Lonchura striata: one gene and its partner. The protein of the gene in region 2 purifies or fractionates together with the protein of the main gene of each other region. This does not show direct contact. Links are inferred from orthologs where the notes say so. Each region holds a gene or a part of one and is shown on either strand. Other genes may lie near its edges. The genes, in order: NUFIP2 and FAM98A.

The links.
Region 1: the proteins of FAM98A (region 2) and NUFIP2 purify together in Homo sapiens (co-immunoprecipitation; 3 studies listed by BioGRID and IntAct, with this or other methods). This does not show direct contact. The link is inferred for Lonchura striata from reciprocal best matches to the Homo sapiens genes FAM98A and NUFIP2.

The regions. Positions count from the first base shown.
Region 1 is NC_134622.1:7,664,586-7,674,695, reverse strand, and holds the start of NUFIP2 (FMR1-interacting protein NUFIP2), read left to right. Parts: upstream 1-5,477; 5' UTR 5,478-5,554; coding exon 5,555-5,738; intron 5,739-8,587; coding exon 8,588-10,110. UniProt on the Homo sapiens protein: Binds RNA.
Region 2 is NC_134605.1:35,869,846-35,880,583, forward strand, and holds the start of FAM98A (protein FAM98A), read right to left. Parts: upstream 4,260-10,738; 5' UTR 4,182-4,259; intron 3,989-4,181; 5' UTR 3,963-3,988; coding exon 3,910-3,962; intron 1,014-3,909; coding exon 865-1,013; intron 1-864. UniProt on the Homo sapiens protein: Positively stimulates PRMT1-induced protein arginine methylation. Involved in skeletal homeostasis. Positively regulates lysosome peripheral distribution and ruffled border formation in osteoclasts.

The DNA of each region.
Region 1 (10,110 bases), on a different chromosome or scaffold from region 2:
TTTTCCTCCCCAACTAGAGCTATCAGCTGTCTCATATGTACTCAGACCATGAGTTCTCCAGAGGAGATGGGTTTTCAAAAGTAAGTTCTTCACCCTGCTTCTATTTGAGTTCCCCAGGCCCTGGATATCTGCAGAAATAGCCTCTTAAATCCCAAGAGGTATAAGCTCACTTGTGCTCCAAAGAATAGTAATCCTAACAAAATCTCTATTTTAGATGTCAAATATTTACTTTTAGCTGAATTATGCCCATTCATTGGAAAACTAATAATACTTTGCTCTTCACAATGTAGCTTATCAGTGAATCCTGATATATATTTTATGCAAAACATTAAAAGGTTGTTGCTTATCTTTTAATTTACCTTTTTTCCCCCTTCATGTTCCTGCATTCCTATGTTTTGAGATAAGGTGAACAAAAGTTCTCCAGCTGCTATCTCTAAGCTATGCATTCTGCAATACCTTCACTGTGTTCTTTCTGATTCACTCCCTCTGAGGTGAATGGTCCCAGTCTTTAAATTTCCTTCAGACAAGGGCTCTTCCCAATCCCTAATCTTGTAGTCAACCATCATTACCCTGTGTCACATAATGAAGCAGCAGTCACAGTAATAACTCAAACAATAACTGCTCCAGATCTGGTGTTCTGTCAGTGCTGAGCATTGTTAAATTGGAGATCCTGGGTGCAAACACAAGCAGAGGAGTCCCCATATACCAAATGCAGACATAGCCAACCCACATTTAAAAACTATTTTTTTTTAATTTCCTGTTTCAAAATAACTGTTTGGTGTCCAAATGGAATGAGAATGAAATGTGACTAGCAGCCTTGTGACTGTTGTGTTGTATAACAAGATAAAAAGTGCTTGGGATTTGTGGATTGAGCTTTTTTTCATTTGTCTTCCAGAGGTCAAAGTCCACTGCAAGCAGTGACCGATACAATTCCCTGTGTAAGTCAGGCTGGACTGCCTGTGCCTCAGGTTCTAACAGCAGGGGAGTTTGTGCAAGAGCACCTTGGTAGGTATTTGTCTGGATTTCTCTGTGGTCCCTGTGATGATCCTAGGAAGCAGGAGGAGATCCAGAATTGTCTGAGAGCCAGGATTCTCTGAAATCCCAGAGAAGTAATGATAAGAGTTGTGGCTGAGGCCAGCCTGCTAGCCTGCTTCCCATTCTGCTTCTTGTATGTGTCCAAGAAGCTGTCTCCAGTTTATACTGTTGCACTCTAGTAAACAATTTTGCATGCAGATATGGGCAGCAGATGTTACTCATGCCTGTGTGAACACTTCAGTGTTTTTACAACAGGGATGATCCTTGGATTGAGTCTTGTTAAACAATGGATGAACCCACCAGAAGTCCCACTGGTTACAGCCATTCTGTTACAGCTTGCTCAAAACACTTTGAAGGATGGTCACGCCATCCTTCTTTGGCCACTCAAGGGGATTGACTCACAAATACGAGCAAAATAAAATTAGATGGCTTAAGTGGCTGCAACCCCAGCTGTGTCCCCGCTGCCCAATTCCCAGAAGGTCATCCCTGCAGCCAGGCTGGCTGTGGAAGGCAACTCCTGAGCTGCTGTAGTGACAGCCCATTCTTCAGGGTGTTAAAATTTGTCTGGCTCCTCTGTGAAACAGTTTAGGAAGCTTAACCAGAATAAAAATGTGCACTTTTCCATCTGAAGAATTACTTTTTAGTTTAATTTCTCAAATGGGCTCTGAGAAGCAGCAGCGTTGCTGTGAGGGCAGGGCAGGGAGAGATGACCTTCCCTTTTGGGAGCAGCCATTACGTCAGTTTTGCTGCCTCACAAAACTATACCCTATGGTTATTTTTGGTGCTGGATTGCCTTAATTTTCTGGAGAGTGAATGAAGGATTAGCATAGTGTGCTTATGACATTTGGAAACTAAGCTTTTAGGAAAAAAATCATAATTCAGCATGTGCTGAGGTGGAAATGCTTAAATTGCTAAGGAAGGGAAGGATGAGTAAAATGTGAATTTTTTACAATTTTTACAATTCAGCTAGGAGGTTAAATCCTTTTATAATTTTTTGGGTTTTGCTGCTTTTTAAGACCTCTAACCCAATGCCTACTATCCAGCTGCCTCTAGAGAGAGAAGTCTTTAAAGAGACCAGCTTTGTACCTATAAATAATGTACACAGCAGAGTACAAAAATGGAGTCAAGGAGAAGCTCCTCCTTACCTGAATGTAACTGCAGCAGCTCTGTGAGAATAGCTGTGGTCAGGCTGTGAGCAGCTCTCCTACCCTGTCATCCATCTTGACTAAACTGCTTCTGAGAACTAATTCTGAGATTCCAACACTTGAATATCAACTGGTAAATCCCAACTGCCTTGTACTGAAACACATTATTTGCCAGCAGCCAAACGTGGCAAGGTTTTAAACAGTGTGGTTGTAATCCTGCTTGGAACTAAAGGTCTGCTGGAGTGCTTTAAGTTGGATGTGTTGGAATATGGAGAATTTTGCAAGTCTGAACCCCTGCTATAAATGAAAACACTGTGGCAAAAAATGTAAATAAATGCCACACATACTTTGTGTAAGAGCCCATCCCAATATCTATAAATATGGTAATTTTGGTGTTTCCCAATTCTGAGTTTTAAACAGGAGACAGACACATGAAATACTACAAAGCAAGCATTTTATTTTTTTCATGGATTAATTTTATAATTTCAGTTCTAATTTACCTGAAAATAATTAATGGGAACTAAATGTAGTTTTTAAAAGAGGTTTGCCTTTGAAAGGAAATAAATTGTTCTTGAAAAAATAACTTCAATAGCTTCTCAGTTTAACTGCATTTTAATATGAACACAAAATTTATCCCGGGTCAGACTCTGCAGGAAAACTTTCTCATGATTCTTGTAGCAGTTGATTCATTCCTTGCTGCCTTAATTTTCCAGCTTTAAATGGCAGGTTCTCTGCAAAGCCATCCACTTCAAAGCTTCATAAAACAGAGCTTTGAATAAATTACTGAGTTAGAAATTATACTGGCTGTGCCCAGCTTTGTGCCTGGATGTGGGAATACTTGGCACTGGGTGTGGAATTCCAAGGAAAATTGCCTCTTTGCTGGCTTGCCAAAGAGCAGTAAGAAGGAAAACTGCTGCAAATGAGCAGACACGGAAATCTCCAGCTTCCCTTTCCAGAGAACACATCCTGAAGAACTGTTGAATATTAATACACATTACAACTGGTGCAACAATGGGCAAACACTGGGATTAACAGAAACTACTGCTTCTGGAGGGGATGTGTCCCAGCATGGCCACAGGGCAACACTGCCTGCTGGAACTGCTCTTACCTTTAAAATGCATCCTTGTGGAATCAGTGGAAGTGGGGCAGGCCCACTGTGTGTGGACACACCATGTTGGGGTGCCAGGTGATGAACCCCAGGCTGTATTATTTTGGATTATTTTTCTCTCTTCTGCAAGCTTTAGATAATATAATACTGATAACATGATACTTCTAAGCAGTGACATAGTAGCTTTGTCTTTCACAAAGAGACAGCCCACCTTCCTCTGTATTCAGATTTCTGGTCTGTGTGTGTGGAGATGATTTGTCCATAATTGTTTGCTTTCCTCAGAGTCTTTTGAAGTTTAAATCTTCAAGCCAGCTCCCTATATTAAAAATAAATTCTTCCAAGCCACCAATAAAATGTCATCTGTGATTAAAGCCTGACTCCTCATTTTAAGACTTGTCTCTTAAGCACTCTGAGGTCACTGAATGAGTCAGCGTTTGAAAGGACCAGGACCGTTATTGTTTGAGTAAAGCCCAAAGTTCATCATTGCTTGCTTAAATAGTTTCATCAGTTTTAAATGGCTTTGCATTGTGCTGAAAGAAATGTAAACTGCAGGAATGATTTGGCAGAGAGCTTGTGATATTTCAGGCACCTCAAATCTTGAAAAAACCCTCTGTATTAATGTTGAAGTTGGTATTTCTGGTAAGGAAAAGCTTTACCTCCTATGTAGTAAAGAGGAGCGTGAAGTGGGAAGTTCTGTTTGAGGCATAAACTTTCAACTGTGTTCTCTTAAAATAAGGCTTGGGAACTGTAAAATCTCCAGACGAGGGCTCTTGTACAGTGCCAAAGTCTGACAGGGCTTTTCTAGACACATGAACTTTATTAATTTTGCTCATTAGAATAGTGAAAAAATAGAACAGAGCATTAAGCTGCAAGGAAAAGACTTGAGAAGCGAGTCCATACTATTTTCAGGACTATTTGTGGAGCCCATTTATATTACACACATTAATTGTGACAGTCTTTAATTACATGAACACATTTTATTTTGTCACTTTTCCTCCCTGTTTGCTGCAGTGCACACTATTGGGACTATTTGGGGGCCATTAATCACACCAGAGTAGCAAATAACTTGGAGCAGGACTCCGCCTCTGTCTCCAGCCCGTGTCAGTTGTGGGTCTCTCCATTCCCTCTGCCCTTTTCCTACATTCCTAATTAACTCCTGTCTCAGTTCCTCACTGATCCATACAACCCAAACCCCTTTGTCTCAGTGGTATCTGGAGAATTGGGCCTTGGTGTTGAGGAGGAATCCGGGAACAGCATTTGAATGTCTTGCTCTCCCTGCAGTGGAGGCTGGCTGGAGCAGAGGTGGGAGTTCAGGTCATTTAGCTGTCATCACCCCCTGCCGAACATGCTCAAGTGAGGATAATCAGAGATTGAAATGGTATGAAATCTGTTGCAAATTCTGTCAAGTTTCAAGAGTTCTCCTCCTTACACTCTCGGGCTTCCCCATCAACCTTTGATTTTTGTTAAGCATCAGTTAAATCTCCGGTGCTTCCCTCGGAGCTGGACAGGCGCATTTGTTGAGCCCACCTTTCTCGGGCTGGCCGGGTGCTGGGCACGGCCGGTGGTGGGTCCGTGCGGGGAGCGGCGGGTCCGCCCGCTTGGCTGCGGGTGGAGCCCTGGAGCCGGGTGAGCTCCGGCTGCCGCGGGAGCGCTGCAGCTCGGCCCGGCAGCGATTCGGGGCGCTGCTGCTGCCGGGCTCCGCGCTTCCCGCGGCTGCTGCTGGGAGCCCGGCTGCTCACGGTGTTCACATCCCTGCCCAGCTCCCCTCCGCTGGGGCTGTTCCAGCCCTCTCCGCCTGCCCCGGGTGGGGGGTTCACCCGCTTCATGACGGCAAAACGCGGCTTGGCGGCATCCCGGGCCGCCGTCCTGCCGGTGACCCTGCGGTGAAACCCCCCCGGGGCCGCACGCCGCTCCCCTCCGCTCCAACGGCGAGGACCGGGGACGGCGGCGACCCCGCCGCGGCCGCTCACTCTGGCTCCGCCGCGCTAGCACGGGGAGGGGGCGAAGCGCGCCCGCCCCCGGCAGCCTCACCTGCCGCCGGCCCGGGGAGGGGGCGGCCGGGCGGGCCCGCGCTGGCCGGGCCGGCTCTCCCCCGGCCGCGGTGCGGCGGGGCGGGGCGGGGGGCGGGCGCGGCGGCGCCGCTCGCTGATTGCAGGGCGGGCGCTGCCAGTCCGCCGCCTCCCCCGCGCCAGCCGCGTCCCCGCGCCGGAGCCGCACGGCCCAGCAGCGAGCGCCCAGCCCGGCCCGGCCCCGCCAGCCGCCCCCCATGGAGGAGCAGCCCCACCACCACCATCACCACCACCACTATTACTACTACGGGCACCACCACCACCACCCGCAGAGCGCCTACCTGCCGCCGCCCGACGGCCGAGCCCAGCCTAAGCCGCCGCTCCGCCACGAGCACAAGCACGGCGGCCCGCAGCACACGGAGGCGCCGAAGCGGAGACCAGGTTGGAGCGGGCAGCGGGACGGGGCCCGTGACCTTCGCGGGGCGGCGGCGGGGGCCCCCTCTCCTCCTCCTCCTCCGCCGCCGCCTCCCCCGGCCCGGCTCGAAGCTTCTCCGCCGCGCTGGGGCCGCTTCCTGTCCGCCATGTTGGGGCTGCGGAGCCGCGGGCCCGCCGGCACCGCCGCCCGCCGGCACGTGGGGCCGGGCCGCGCCGCCGCCGCCGGCCGGGCCCGGGGCCGCGGGGGCGGCCGGGCGATGGGGGAGCGCCGGGATCGATCCGTCAGAGCCGGCGGCGCGGCCCGGCCCGGCGCCGCCGGCGGGAGGCGGCGCGGCCCTGCCCGGCCCGGGCGCTCGGCCGCCTCCTCCCCGCCGGGCCGGGGCTGCGGCCCCCGGGCCGTGCCGGGCCGCCGCAGAGGCGGTGTCCGGTTAGCGGCGCGGGGGGAGCCGGTCCCTGGCAGGGCCGAGCCCCCGCCGCGTTCCTGCGGGCTCCCCGGCTCCAGCAGTCCCTCTGGGGGGGTTTGTGCGGGGTCAAGGCGAGTGCGTGGCCACCAGCCGGCCGGAGTGCCGCGTACAATTTTTTTTTTTTTTATTTCCCTTGAATTTTTCTTTTACATAACGAGGCGGGAGGTGGGAGGGGGCCTGGTAGCAGCGGAGCGGGGTCAGCAGTGCCCCATGTGCAGCCTGGGCAGGCAGGGAGGGACCTGATGGGGCACACGCCAAAATAAGTTACCGAGCAAAAATAAGTTGAGAAGTCATTTCACTGTTTGCAGCGTGCCCAGGGTTTTAATATGTGCCTAGGCTGGCACCCCTCCCTTTCCAGCTCTGAAACGGTTTGTGAGCTTGCCAGATCCTCTTCACCTGTTCTTCTTACCATCCTGGATTTTTTCCTCTCCCCTGAATTTTGGTTGCTGCACCTCCGTGTCCAGGCCAAGGCCAGCTGTGCCAAATGTTGATTTGGAGAAAACTCAGGCAGCTGAGCTGTGAATGCTTGAGAATTGGAACTAGAAACTGCTGACACACTGACTTAGTGAAATGGATTTTGTTCTTCATTTTATTCTTTCACTCCTCATCTGCAGTGGTCTTATGACCACTCTTTATTGTTTTGTTTCATTAACAAGTGGTGTCAGAAGTCTTGAGTCATACAAGGTCAGCTGTAACACTGTTCTTGAGAGGGCTTCCTCTTCATGCTATTCTGAAATACTAATTTTTTAGAGGATCCCGCCGTTCTAGTTCTCTCTGGGGCGAAGTATTTGCAGTTAATTTTCTTAACAACATATTTGAAAGTTATAGTGGAAGTTGTGGTGGTTACAGATACTTGCATGTAGTAAAATCCTTTTTGATCCCCCTCGGCAAACTCAGTTGTGGAATTTCTGTAAAGATTCCTACAAGGATTCTTGTGTTCCCGACTTGCACAGAACTTGAGCTGTTACATCTGCCAGACATCTGAGGCTCCAGGATGTGAGGGTAACAACGATTTTTAGTTACAGCAGTTAATTTCAACAACATCAGCAAACAACAAAAACATTCTTCTTCCAAGCTGGAGTTTTGCCCGCTCCAGTTGTTGAGGGACTCCCTCTCTGTGCTGACTCGGTGCCACCGTGGCTGCAGATGGAGCCTTAGGTGGGTCAGTGGTTGTGGGGGATGTGGATGTGAGGCTTTCCAGCCTCGGAAGGAGGAATGAGTCAGAGGAGCGGCGGGTGCAGGAGGAATCCCTCTGCAGCTGGAGTGTATTTGTCGAGCAGGGCACGGTGTGCTCTCCCTGTGTCCCACTGGGGCTCCAGGGCTTCCCTTGGGGTTTTAGCCAGGGTCCTCGAAAGCAGCAGGCCTCTGGCCAGAGATGCTTGAAAAGGAGAAAGCAAAGAGGAAGTTGGGGTGGTTCAGTGTGGACTGTCCTGGGCTTCCAGCTCTGCTTGAATTGCACTCTCCAGAACCATGAGGCCTGGAAGTGAACTTCAGAAGGGAAGAGTAAAGCTCAGTCTGCAGCACAATCTCATGGCTTTGTGAGTTGGAGCCCTCAGCAGGTGCTATATTTCTTGGGTCTCAGGCTCATACCAGCTCTCCTGGGGACTCTGAAATACAAGTTTTTTCAGTGGCCAAGAGATCCATTGGTGGTGGCAGCAGAAGGGCACTTGCAGGGATGCATTTCTTACTTCTGTCACTTTTCAGTGCCAAGGAACATGTGTAGGGAGGTGCTGGTCGCTATCTTAAAATGCAGGGAGGAGATGTGGCCACATTTTCTTTCCTCCATCTTCCAGCTGAACTTGCACGGGTCCTTTTGCAAATACTGTGCTTGTTTTTTTTTTCCCATCCCTTGACTGAGATGGCATTTGGGAGGAGGGTGGGAAGGAGGACTGCTGGTGTCGTGGGCCCAGGAGGTGATGGAGATGGTAGGAGTTGTCCCTTGTTCACAGTGTGTATCCTGAACCTCCACAGATCTTGTCAGAAAGGCAGTGGATCCCGCTGTCTTGAAGCATCCTGGGAATTAATTTTTTCCTCTCTCTGACCTGGAAATAGTAGCTGATGAAATAACTCTCCAGCTTGCCAGTGATTTTCAGTACAGTATATTTTTCTGGCATAGTATCTGTATTTTCTTTTGCTTTGTTATGTTATCTGTATGTCACTCAGTTATGCGAGAATCAGTCATGGCTGGTCCTTCTTTTTTAACCCTTCTTGCTGTGGGTTCCAGCAAATAAATTTATGCAGCTTTACCTCAGAGACTAGATATTTTCCTATTTTAAAATGTCTGCGTGAGGAAACTGGATATGTTTGGGGCTGACTACAGCTTTCTGCAATGACAAGTCTAACATTTCACATTCTAATTCTTGCCTTTTGCTGTTTTTGGCTTCCCTCTAGGCTACGGAGAGCTAAATGGTAACGCAGGAGAACGAGAAGTGTCACTAAAGGGCCTGTGCTCTGATGAAGCCACCGCCCCAGGATCCAGGGTACCCAATGGCAGCCAGCAGCTTGTAGATTCTAATGTCACCCCAAAGCAGACTGTGAAGGCCAGTGCTTTGGGGAAAGCTGGAATCAAAACCAAGAACTTCATTCAGAAAAATAGCATGGACAAAAAGAATGAAAAGTCCTATGAAAACAAACACAGAGAAAACCAGACCTCGGACAAGCCAGAGGGAGTGTCTATTCCAAACGGCGTGGTAACCAATAATTCCAGCTACATCACAAATGGCTACGTAGGCAAAGGGGCCGATAACGATGGTAGTGGCTCCGAGAGTGGATATACTACACCTAAAAAACGGAAAGGCAGGCGCAACAGTGCCAAGGGTTGTGAGAACTTGAATCTAGTACAGGACAAAATAATGCAGCAGGAGGTCAGCGCACCAGCCTTGAAACAGGAACTTGAGAGTTTCAAGCCTGATTATAGTGAACAAAAGGGGAACCGAATTGAAAATACGAAGCCTGTTTGGAAATATGAGGCTGGGGCTGGTGGAGCAGGCCGAGGAAAGCCTGGGCTCGGGGATGTACCGAGGAAAAACTCTGATGCCAAACCTGGGATTAGCAGCAAGAAGTTTGATGACCGGCCCAAAGGGAAGCATGCATCGTCGGCTACATCTAAAGAGGATTCATGGACCTTATTTAAACCACCCCCAGTTTTTCCAGTGGACAATAGCAGTGCTAAAATTGTTCCCAAAATTAGTTATGCAAGTAAAGTTAAAGAAAACCTCAACAAAGCAGCTCAGACCCCATCCACGTCATCCACATCATCCTCATCGTCTTCATCATCTGCTGGGGAAACTCAGGCCCAAACATCAAGTCGGCTGTCCCAAGTCCCCATGTCTGCTATGAAATCTGTCACTTCTGCCAGCTTCTCGAACGGGCCGATCCTCGCGGGGACCGATGGAAGTGTGTATTCCCCAGGGGCCCAGCCACTGCTCTCCACTGCTGCTAGTACTGTCCCATCGACCTCCTCCTCCGAGTCAGTACCCCAGGACATGAGTACAGCTTCGACAGCCCTCGAACAAAAGAAATCTGGCCTTTTTATCTACCCTTCAAATATGCAAACTGTGCTCCTGGGGACAGCGCAAGTCGATTTCCCTTCCCAGACGAATCAGCAGAACCTGGGGGATATCTTCCAGAATCAGTGGGGCTTGTCTTTCATAAACGAGCCCAGTGCTGGACCTGAAACCGTTGTGGGGAAATCTGCGGATAATCAGTTAATGGAAGTGACATTTCAAGGGGAATATCCTGCCACTTTGGTTTCACAGTGTGCTGAAATCATTCCCTCAGGAACTGAACAACCTGTGTTTCCTAAGGCTTATGAGCTGGATAAACGGACTAGCCCTCAAATTCTTAGTGCTGTTCTTAAGCCTGGGACTGCTGTTGAGGGCGGTGTCTTAGCTTTGGAGTCGCATCACACAGGT
Region 2 (10,738 bases):
GAATTTGTTAGGTAAAAAAAAAGTGATGAGAAATAGCATTTTTTGATCTTTTGGAAGGAGACTTCAACCCCAAATTTCTGCTATTCCTAAACTTAAGACATACAAAATGAAGGTAGGTAGGACTTGATGGTACTCCAGCTAACATGTTTCTGTCACGGTGTTTAAAGAATTTGAGATAGGTGTTGGAAGATTTCTGGATTGTATTTTTACACAAAACAAAGAATAGGAACCTTTTACGACTAGAAGGGGTGAGATACTGTATTGTCACACAGAAAGAATATGAAACACACTCAAAGAAGAATGAATGAATATGTCAAAAACAGAGAGAAAGGAAAGTAACAGATGCTGAGCTAAAAGGCAGCAACCTTTGGCCACTGAGTAAATACAAAGCTTAGCTCACGAAAGCATTATGAGTTAATATATTAGATACTCAGGAATATGGGTTATTACACCAATTTGATAATTTAATCTGTAGATTGTCATGACTAGTTGACCAAAATTAACTTTTTTTCCTGAAAGCTACAGTTTGCTTCCTCTACCAAAAACAGAAGCATTGAAACAAAAATATTTTATGATCTAGTAAAAACCCCACTAGTATTAATGTTTCCCTAAATCCATCTAAGAACTTTAAAAAAATAATATGCTTGAAAAATTAACAGAAAAATCTAATTTCAGAAGACTGATCACCACTATAATTTCAACTTCTACTGGCTGTTCATTCAGCAAATTTGAGGTGGAAAATACCCAAAATCTGGCAGCGTGAAGACAACACTCCATGGTACAATACACAGGCCAGCCCTAATCTCTGTGGCATGCAAGAACACAAATTAAGTGCATGTTTGTGCTGGAGTTATGACTACTTACTGTTGGTTGCTTGCACATTCTCCTCTAGTTTACAGAAGAGCCGTAACTCCGATACCAACCAAGCGCAGAGTTTGGTGAATTCAGGGGAACTGGCTCCATGGGAGACTGCCTGAGCCAGTGCTCCGTCAACTAACAGTGGACCTTTGTAACTGAGAAATAAAACAAAAGCACGGTTTATTAATGTTTGCTGTGACCAATGTCCTTTGACAGATTTATTTTATGCTGTATACATATTTAGAAATACAATCACAAGACATCTGAAGTGCTGATGTCATGGAATGGTGATTCCTGGACTGAACTGTATCAAGAACCACATGGAAAACATCAGAGTAAACTCAGAATTTGTGTGCACATTAACTTACCATCACAAAAACTGTCACAAAATTGCATTGTCAAAAGTTTCCTCCACAATATTACCATGTATAGTGGCAACTTCACTGCTGCCACCTCCTGAACATGTTACAGACAACAGACCTATCCAGGGCAACTGCAGTCTCAAAGAATCCTTCCTGAGCTCTACATACTGCTTTACAGTATGTTAAATAATTACTGCTGAACAAGTGCATCTTTACTGTCATTTCCTATCACATATGAAAGGGCTGCCTTACAAAACAAAGCCTTTGATAGAAATATTACAAAAGTGATCTGCATAACAATATCATCTCTTGAAAAACCAACCTCCCTAAATATACACAAGAAAAATTAATGGAATTGGTTCTTTGCATAAGCAAAATAAGCCAAAAATCAGACCTACCGAAAGAAAGCATGTGTTTACAGATCAGATCTTAGAAAACTGAGTTTTCAGAACATCTGTGTACTGACCATCTCTCAGGGGGAGAATGAAGAGTAGAGACAAGGCTGCCTTATTAACCAGGTAGAAGCACAAGTCAGAGTTTACTTCAGTATTTTAGAAAAAACACGTACAATATAATTTTGATATACTGCCCCCAAAAGACAAAGACATCCAAGAGTGCTCATAACTAAACGAAATCTCTCTTGGGAACTTCTGGGTAAAGTCATCCACTACCTCACAACAATCCAACAAGTCCAGGCAACTCTTGGCAAACCTCGGCAATAAAAGAACATCTCAAATTGAAATGAAATTCTCCTCACTCTGCTCCTGTGCTTAATACGACATACAAAGGATTTGGCCTTCACTGTAGTGGCCTGTTACTTCAGCCAAGTAAAATAAAGAAGCCACGCTCAAAAATAACTTTTACCTCACAGAGCAGCTTGATTGGTGACACAGTTAATCTACTGGCAGCTGGACAGAAGCTGTAATCTCATGTATTACAACCCTACTGCATGACCACAGCAGGCTGGACACTTCAAGAAGCTAATCAGAGCAAGTTTCAGTCCCATCCCATCTCTACATGTGTAGGTCTAGGAACATCTGGGACTCAAAATAGAAGCAGCCAGTTACAGGTCAAAGTAGCAAGGAAGCAATGGAAAGCCTTTTGCTTTGGCAGGATTGGGATTTAAGTCCCTGCTCAGATCTTCTAGAGGCACCTTTTCTAGAAAGTTTTTTTAACAGAGGTAATGTCTTGAGTGTGTAATTTCTTATAATTATGACTTCAGCTACACATCAATCTGGCCAATAATCCAACTTGCAGATTCCTAATTGCAAGCAGCTTTTTCCTTCTGTTGCTGCCAATGACATGTGTTCCAGAGCTATGCTCTCTTTTGGTAACTTCGTGCTATCCCATCTGTTTGCTCTTTCAACAGTTCAACAAGCTGATGTACAAGACAAGAGGCCACCATCTGAACACCTCGAGCACAACTAGAAAAAGAAACAGCTCTCTAACATGTACTGATATAAGAAAAAAAAATCAAGTGATATATTAGGAATATCTTCAGTATCTGATGAGAAAAAATAAGATGAACCATGAAGACCATGGAGCTACTGCCAAAACATAAAGCCTCAAACACCCGTCTTTCCAGACACCAAAAATCAGAAGTCCTTTAGACACGTGCAATAGTTTTCCCAGTTGTTCCCAATATTGCTGGGGTCTTATGTCTTTCATGCTCAAAATTTTCTTTTTTTTACTGTTGTCAATTTTGCTTCATATAATTTATTTGTTCATCTACTTTCACTGTTCGCTTTACGCATTTACGTCAAAAATCAACAACACTTTCTGTCTATAACTGCACAGATCAGAAGCACAAATCACCTTCAAGCCACTAGTGTCCTTTTAAACACAAAAAAATAAGCCAATCACAGTATTTTCATTGTGAAAGAGATGCCTTTTCACATTTCAGTCAGAGAAATACCTGCTAAAACAGAAATCTATTTGTCAAGCATTGCAACTATCACCACTAATGTAACCTGAAAATACAATCTTTGTTGGAGCATAATGACTCTAGTCACAAAGTGATTTATGGGAATGGGGCCAATGTGAGTAAATACAGCTGTTTGCATGGAACCGGCAGTAGAGTGAAATTGTAGCTGCCTGTCTTCTGAACTCTTAGCAGGTTACAGACTTGGGAGCTTACAGCAGGACATGTTCTCCACGCTCTTCCTTTCATGCTTTTCTTTTTTTATGCAGCCTTTCCTGACTCTGACAAAGTAACAGGTTTACACAGCAGAAGTTTCCTGTACTATAGTACCCTTTAAAATATGTTAAGAAGAAAAACACTTGCTTATTTGCAATGCTTTTTACTCTTTCTCCGCCCTCCCCGCCAAAAAATACTAAGCCTGAAGGCTTTTTTATTGTCTAACGTATCTCTTTATCCCACCCCACCCTCAGCTAGGGCCGCTGTGCAGAACAGAGCAGCAACAGACCAGATGGCATCCAAGAATCGAGGGGATCAGCTCGCACGGAGAAGCGAGAGACTCGCCAAGGCCATGCAGCTACAAGCCTGCGCGTCTGGCTTGGGGCATCAGCAGCAGCCCGGCCCTGAGGCCGGCTGTGACCAAAAGGACCATTCCATGCACTGCCCCGAGCCGCGGCCCTCCGGAGCGGCAGCGGCCCCGCCCGTGCGGGGCGGAAAGCGTCGCCGTGTCCCTGCCGGGGCCGCCCCGCGCCCCCAGCCTCGGACACGTACCCTAGGTCCTCCAGCGACTCCAGCACATCGTTCTCCAGGAACTCGAACTCCATCCTGCGGCGGGGCACGACAGCTGGACCTGCGCGACAGCGGGACTCAGCGCTACCAGTTCTCGCACTCCCACCGCCCGCCGTTCCCCCTTCTCCAGCCCATCCCGGCCTCGTGGTGGAGACTCAAGTCTCACCCCCTGCCCCGCGGCGAGGGAGAGCTCCCGGCGCCACGGCCCCTGTCCCGGGCCGCCCCAGCCCGCTGTCCCGCCCGGCCGCACGCACCACGCTCGCAGCTGCGCCGCCAACTGCCGGGCTGGCATCTCAGGGCGGGGAGAGCCGCGCCGAAGGCCCCCGGCCTCCCTCTTCATCCGGCTGCTCTAGGGCCGCCAGCCCCGCTGCCTGATCGGCGCCGCCCCCGTCCGCGGCGGTGTCCGCCTATCCGCCGAGCGGAACACCATTGCTAAACTGGGACGCGGATGCGAGGCCGGATAACAGGCCGTTCTTGCGGGAAAGGAGCCCGGGACGAGCCGAGGATCTCACTTTTGTGTTCAGGCGCCGGTAGGGCAGACCCGGAAGCGCAGCCCGCGCAGGAATGTGCTGCGGCGAGCGGCGTCGCGGCAACGGGCGGGGGCAGGGGGATAGGACGGGGCGGCAGAAGGGTCAAATCGTGCCAGGGAACGAGAGTCCGTCCCCCCCTTTCAGGACCCCGAGCTACGGCCGGGACCACAAATCCCGGCATGCCTTGCGCACGACAGGGCGGGAGGCGGCTGGCGCCGAATAAAATTAATAAAATTCATAAAATTAATAAATCGATGCCGGGCACGCAGCAATCCCACAGAAAGCACGTCAGTGCTGGAAGGGAGGCACGGTGAGAGGTTATGTTGGGATGGCTACACCACGCTGGGAAAAGCCAAAACCATTCGTGCCAAAAATTATGCCAGTCTGTCACCAGTAGCGAGCTGGTGCTGCAGGACCGACTCCTGTTCTTCATGAAACTGCCCTTGGCAGGCACGGTGAAGAAAAGCTGCAGTCAAAATATGAAGGATCTTGTAGCCTCAAGATAGGTAGGAAGATAAAGAATAGGCATTGTAGTCACCAGTTATATTACTAAAGACATGTCAATTTACACATTTGTAGGAAAATTGCCTCCTAAAGACTAAAATCTTAATGTCAGATGAATAATACAGGCATTCTGCTTTGTGTATTTGCTTTTAGTTGTATAGTGGTTAGTATAGTGTGGCCGCAGCCCACTCTGATTTTTTAAAAATAAAAGAGATAAAGGCTTCTGGCAAGCTGCCTTATCACTGCTGAGCTCTGAGAATTAACTGATTTTCCCTTTGTCCATTCATTTTTGATCCAAAGTATCTCAGGTGTTGTGCTTGGGAGCCTTGGCAGGGTGGGTAGCCTAAACTGGAGATCTGGGCAATTAGGATTTTCCTCACTAATTCAACACTGCTCCTGAAAGCTATGACCTTTTGCTTGTTTGGTCGACTTGGCGGGTTCTGTTTGGTTTTTGTTTTGTTGTTTTGCTTTTGTTTTTTTTTTATTTTTATGTAATGGTTGGATTCACCTTGCTTGCACAGGTGGAAGTGTACAAAGCTGGGTAGTATGTCCACAGAGTGTGGACTCTGCTCTGCTGCTTGTTGTCATGATAATGTTTACCCCTTATTTCTGAACCTTCTTTTTTCTTGCCCTAAATATAGGGTTTAAAAGCATTCATAGGAGCAAGCAGTACATGAAGTAATTAATTTTGTCACATTGACACTGTTCCTGTGTCCACTCCTGAATCTGCACATGTTGAGATACGAGGATTTTGTGCTAATTTCAGGAGGACATTTACTGTCATCTTACATTTACTGCTCAGATGAGCATTGGCACAGAAGGGTCATATTCATCTTGGCACCCAGCTGATGACATCTGCCTTCTGAAACAAATAAAAGTATTTCTCTCAGGTTCAGTTGTGCCAACACTGCAGGGTAGGGACAGTCTGGTAGGCATCTCCTCCAGTCTGTATCACTCAGTTCCATGACTGCTTTAACATCCCTTCTGTGCTGTGAGGACCAGCAGTTTCTTGAAAAACAGAAGGATCTTGTGGCTGGGGAGAAGAACAGTTGGAGGTGTGATGCTAGCTTGGAGCAGGCAGCTACAATTTTCTCCTGGGGACGGGGATGAGAGTTTTGTTTTGTCATTGTCTCTTATCAGTCATGACTTTTTCTTTTCCTACCAGCCTAGGGTTTTCACCACACAAATTTTGGAGGCATGGGAGGTGTGAATGGCCACTGTGCAGCATCCTGACCCCCTAGAAGAAATTAATTTTGCAATTGGACAGTTTTTGAGTACTTCTTGAACAAAATAATATTGTCCTGAGAAGTTTGCTGTTGCACAATGAGATCCAGAGCTCTGCAGACAGGTTACTTCTGAAAGCAGCAGCCACTCTGGCTATTGGCTCAGGGAAGAGCTGTAACTGGGGTAGATTTCCCTAAGCTACACAAGGCTCTGCAAACTTGTCAACCTGCAGAACTGAGCTCAACTCTCCTTGGGTTTGTTCTCTCCCTGGGGTAGGCTTGTTACATCTACTTCCCTCCCCACCCTGACTCACAGAGAGCTGCAGGACTGGGAATCCAATGTCCCTCAGGCAGCTTGACCGCAATGCCCTGGCTGGAGCCATCCATGGCTCCCTGCACTATGTCACCACTGGAAAAGCCATGTAGTACTGATTTCTCCTATGGGAAGAAGAAAACCAGCCCAGACTGCAGCTGTCCTCTTCATGGAACCCCTCTAAACCCCTCCTGGCCCCTTTAGCCCTGGAGGGATGGGGATGATGTGGTGGATATTGGTCAGGTGCTTCCAGGCTGCTACATACAGGTTAAGGAAAAGGCAGTTCATGCATGCCCTGAAGCTCTGCAACCCAAATATATTTATTCTGAGAGGTATGAGGTGCTCCACTGCTTGGATGCCAGTTGTCATTAAACAAAGACAATTGGTTTCCTGTGTACTTGCCTTTTGTGATTGATTTGTTTTGATGTTTGAGATGCTGTGAGCTCTGACTGAAGATAAACTACTTCCTCCTGTGCATATTCTCTCACAAGTAATAAAGTAAGGCTGTAGCCCCTCCTTCAGCTTTGCACCAAAAGAACCTGTCACCAGTGTAGAGGAGGCTTGTTGAATTTGCCCAGGTCACTGAAGACACACCCTGATGGTTCAAACCTCACTTCCACAGGAAAGCTAGCCAAAACCAACAACTTTAAGGCAGGGTTTATTTCATTACAGACAATTTATTTTCACAGGGTTTACACCACCCCACCTCAGGTTGGCTCTGTGGCTGTCAAAAATCCCATGACAGAGACATTAAATATGAAATCTGTACTTACAGAATAGCATGAAACACACATGAGTGTTACCAGATGCAGAGTGGTAAAGTGCTGCTAAGCACTTTTGTATCAAAACCGATTTTTTTACTGATTTCTGCAGGATGCTGCAGTTTCTTCAGTGTCTGGATGCAACAGAATCCAGCCACTGTGCTGAAGCTAAAAGCCCACTGTCTGTCAGACATACAGCTGGATTTGCCAGGTATCAAGGAATGTCAGTTCTGGCTCAGAGCATGCTGGATACCATGAAAGATCAAGAGCAGGACAATGACAAATGGCACTTCCCCTACTACTCACCCAGCTTTTGACTACTTTCAGCTCTCTGGACTTTCTTCAGTCCTTACTGCTGTGCCATGAGAGGATCAGAGGATCTGACCAGAGGATCTGCCTGAGAGGATCAAAGACCAGAGGGTACCAGGGCCAGCTAACAGGGGAACTGCCCAAGGCTGGATATTGAGTGGATGTGCAGTCTGTGGGTGCCAGCAAACTAACTGGGGCAGTGAGCCTTGAGGTCTTGCCATGATCAGGTATCTGCAGCTGGATGGAACAAGGATCCAGGGCTGACTACTGGATAAACGAGCATCTGTCCTGTTACTAAAAGGCCCATGCTGTATGTCTTCTCTGTATGTTCCACTGCACACCTTCATTCCAGAGAGGGGAAGAGGATTATGGCATTGGTCCTGTTTCCATTTGCAGAAGTGCTGTTTTCTAGTTTTATATGTGTTTGTCTGTGTGGCTGGCCATGTGCACACACATCAGCGTGTTTGTGTGCTTACTGGGAGTACACACACAGCCTTCATGCTGCCTAGACCTGGCGAGACAAAGATGCAGGCAGCTTCACTTCTGTTGTGCTACCAGGTTTATCAACTCCAACCAACACTTCTACTGCAGGCAGGAGGTAATTTCTGCTAAAGAACATGGATAAAATGCAGCCTTTGTGTAGCAAATAATTTTTTCACAGACCATGTTCCCGAATATTTTCTGGAGCAGCTGGATCTCTGCTGCTGTGATGCTTTAATTATGATTAAAGTATTGGTAATCCCTTCTAGGCAGGCTGTTTGAATCCACCTCTGCATTACACCTCCGTTGGCCAAAAGATGTCAGTGCTATGGTAATCAGTTTACCAGTCAGCCTCTGCAGCAGCAATGAAGGAGAAAGTGGATCTATAACACAACAGATGACAATTCAATACTTAGGTTTATACTGATGGGTATGACTTGACTGTGTGAAGTCTGTGTGGCAAAAATAAGAATTTCTAAAATGTTCTTCCCTGAGTAGCTGCAACAAGCTAGTTTGTGGGGTTTTAGTCATATATAAAGCAGGATGAGTCTACACACTGTAAAGCCATCTCTCACACATTATTTTTGAGAATAATCAACAGTTATAATAAATCTTTGGGGAAAAAAAATAAGCATGGACTGTCTTTATTCTTTTACATGCCTGGCAGCTGCTGTCAGGATACTTTTGTTGGTGAAACACAACACCACTTCCCTTGAGATGAAATACTTGTGACAAGAGTTAACAAGGAACTTTTGTGAAAACATGACAAAGAAGTTTGCATGAATAATTTAACAGGGTAGCTGAGTTCAAAAATAGCTGCAATATTCCAAATTAAGTATAGAGACAGGAACTTTAAAAAGCCTTTTCCTCTATTTTAAGCAGCTTTTCCAAGTGATACAAAAAACCTATGAATCAAGAAGCTTCAGAATCCAGTGCCACTATTAACATCTTGTAGAAGCCTGCACTTTTAAAATCCTCTTTAGAGAATAATTTTTAAACAAACACTCAGCAATCAGTATAATTTCAAAAAGTTTAATGTTTGTTTTTAAAATAACTCTATTTAATCGAGAAAGGAATCCACACATACAGTCTTCTTGGATGGTGGCAAAAGAACTTAAATTAGAGCCATACCCATGACCAGCAGGTTTAACCAGTAAGAATATAGAGAAAGTCTCACTGATTAGTTGTTGTGGCGCGGCATGATCCTCTGCTACCATATGTTGTAGCGCGGTATGCGCTCCTCGCCGCGGCACTCCGAGCCGTGCCGTGCTGGGCGGTGAGGGAAGAGAACGGGCAGCCGCTTTCCCCTGCAAGCTCTGCAGTTCAGTTCGTGGCGCGCGGGGACAGACAAAGGCGACACGGGACTTGGGGGGTGAACAGGATGGTTTTATTCACTGAGCCCCAAGACCCCCTCGGGGGCGGGAGCAGAGGTTTTATACAGAACTCAGGAGGAGGGGTGTAGGAACAGTAACCACTAAGGGAATAGCAGGGGAGGAGTTTAGGGCAGAACTAACATGACAGGGAAGGTTCCAGGGAAAGGGGCAGGGAAAGGGAGGATTGACCACTTGGAGATGAGGGGGGGGTTAGGGGAGAGCTAGGGAAGACTGACACTGGGGAGAGGAGGAGATTGGGGGGTTGGGGGGGGAAACAGATATTAAACAAATATTAAATGAAAGAAAAACACACCACCGCAATTAGTCACATTAATAATAAGAAAAAGAATGTGCCCTCCAAAGAGAGGAGCAAAGGATACCATTCCAGTCATACAAATCTGCACTCACCTTCTCAGAACAGGTTTCCAGAAGTCTGGAAATTCAAGATAACATTTTCTTATCTCCTGTGCAAAGTAACAAGAGACAAAGAGGCAAAGACTTCTTACAGGAAAATATGTTCATCCTAAAATCCCACTTGCTGGAGCATCTGGTGGATTTGACTGTTATAATCCCAAATCTTAGACCCTTTTAATTGTTTCTCTCCCCTCTGCATCAAAAACCTTCAGTAACAGCTAGTCTGGAAGGAATTTGTCAAGCTGTTAGGCTGGAACAGTTAATGGACAATGACTCAAACAATCAGCCACTTGGGTGCTTTTGCTGGATGTGCATCTCACAGCCCAGGTGCAGAGGGGGCTACAGCTGGGGTTTGAGCCAGATAAGGGAGAAGGCTGATACAAAGACCCTTTGGAAGTGGAATAGCTGGGGAGGTATGGGGCATTCACACATAGGCCTGAAGGTGTTCATCCCTCAGGGCATAAAATATGCTGCCATGTCTTAGAAGGTGTCATAAACCACAAAGACCTCCAAAGTGCCCTCAAACTAATTTGAAGCCTTTCACCTATCCTTTCTCTTTTCTTTATACATTTTCTTATGTGTTATTTTTATGCATCTGTATTGTTATATTTCTACAGATAATAATCAAACCTATATACCTCCTATCCTTTGCAACCAAATTGTTCTGAAATAAACCTGGCATATTTATTTATTTATTTATTTTTATAAACACTGGTCATTCAGTGTCATTTTACTCTAATCCACTCCCCAAGGGATGGATTATTAACAAGAACCTCAGTTACCTCACCTTCAAGGATGGGTCATAACACAAGCATAATACAAAATGAAAACAGCTGTCAAAGAACACACTGTGAATGTAGACAGTTCACTAGGAGAAGGGATTTGTAAGAAGAATTATAACTAA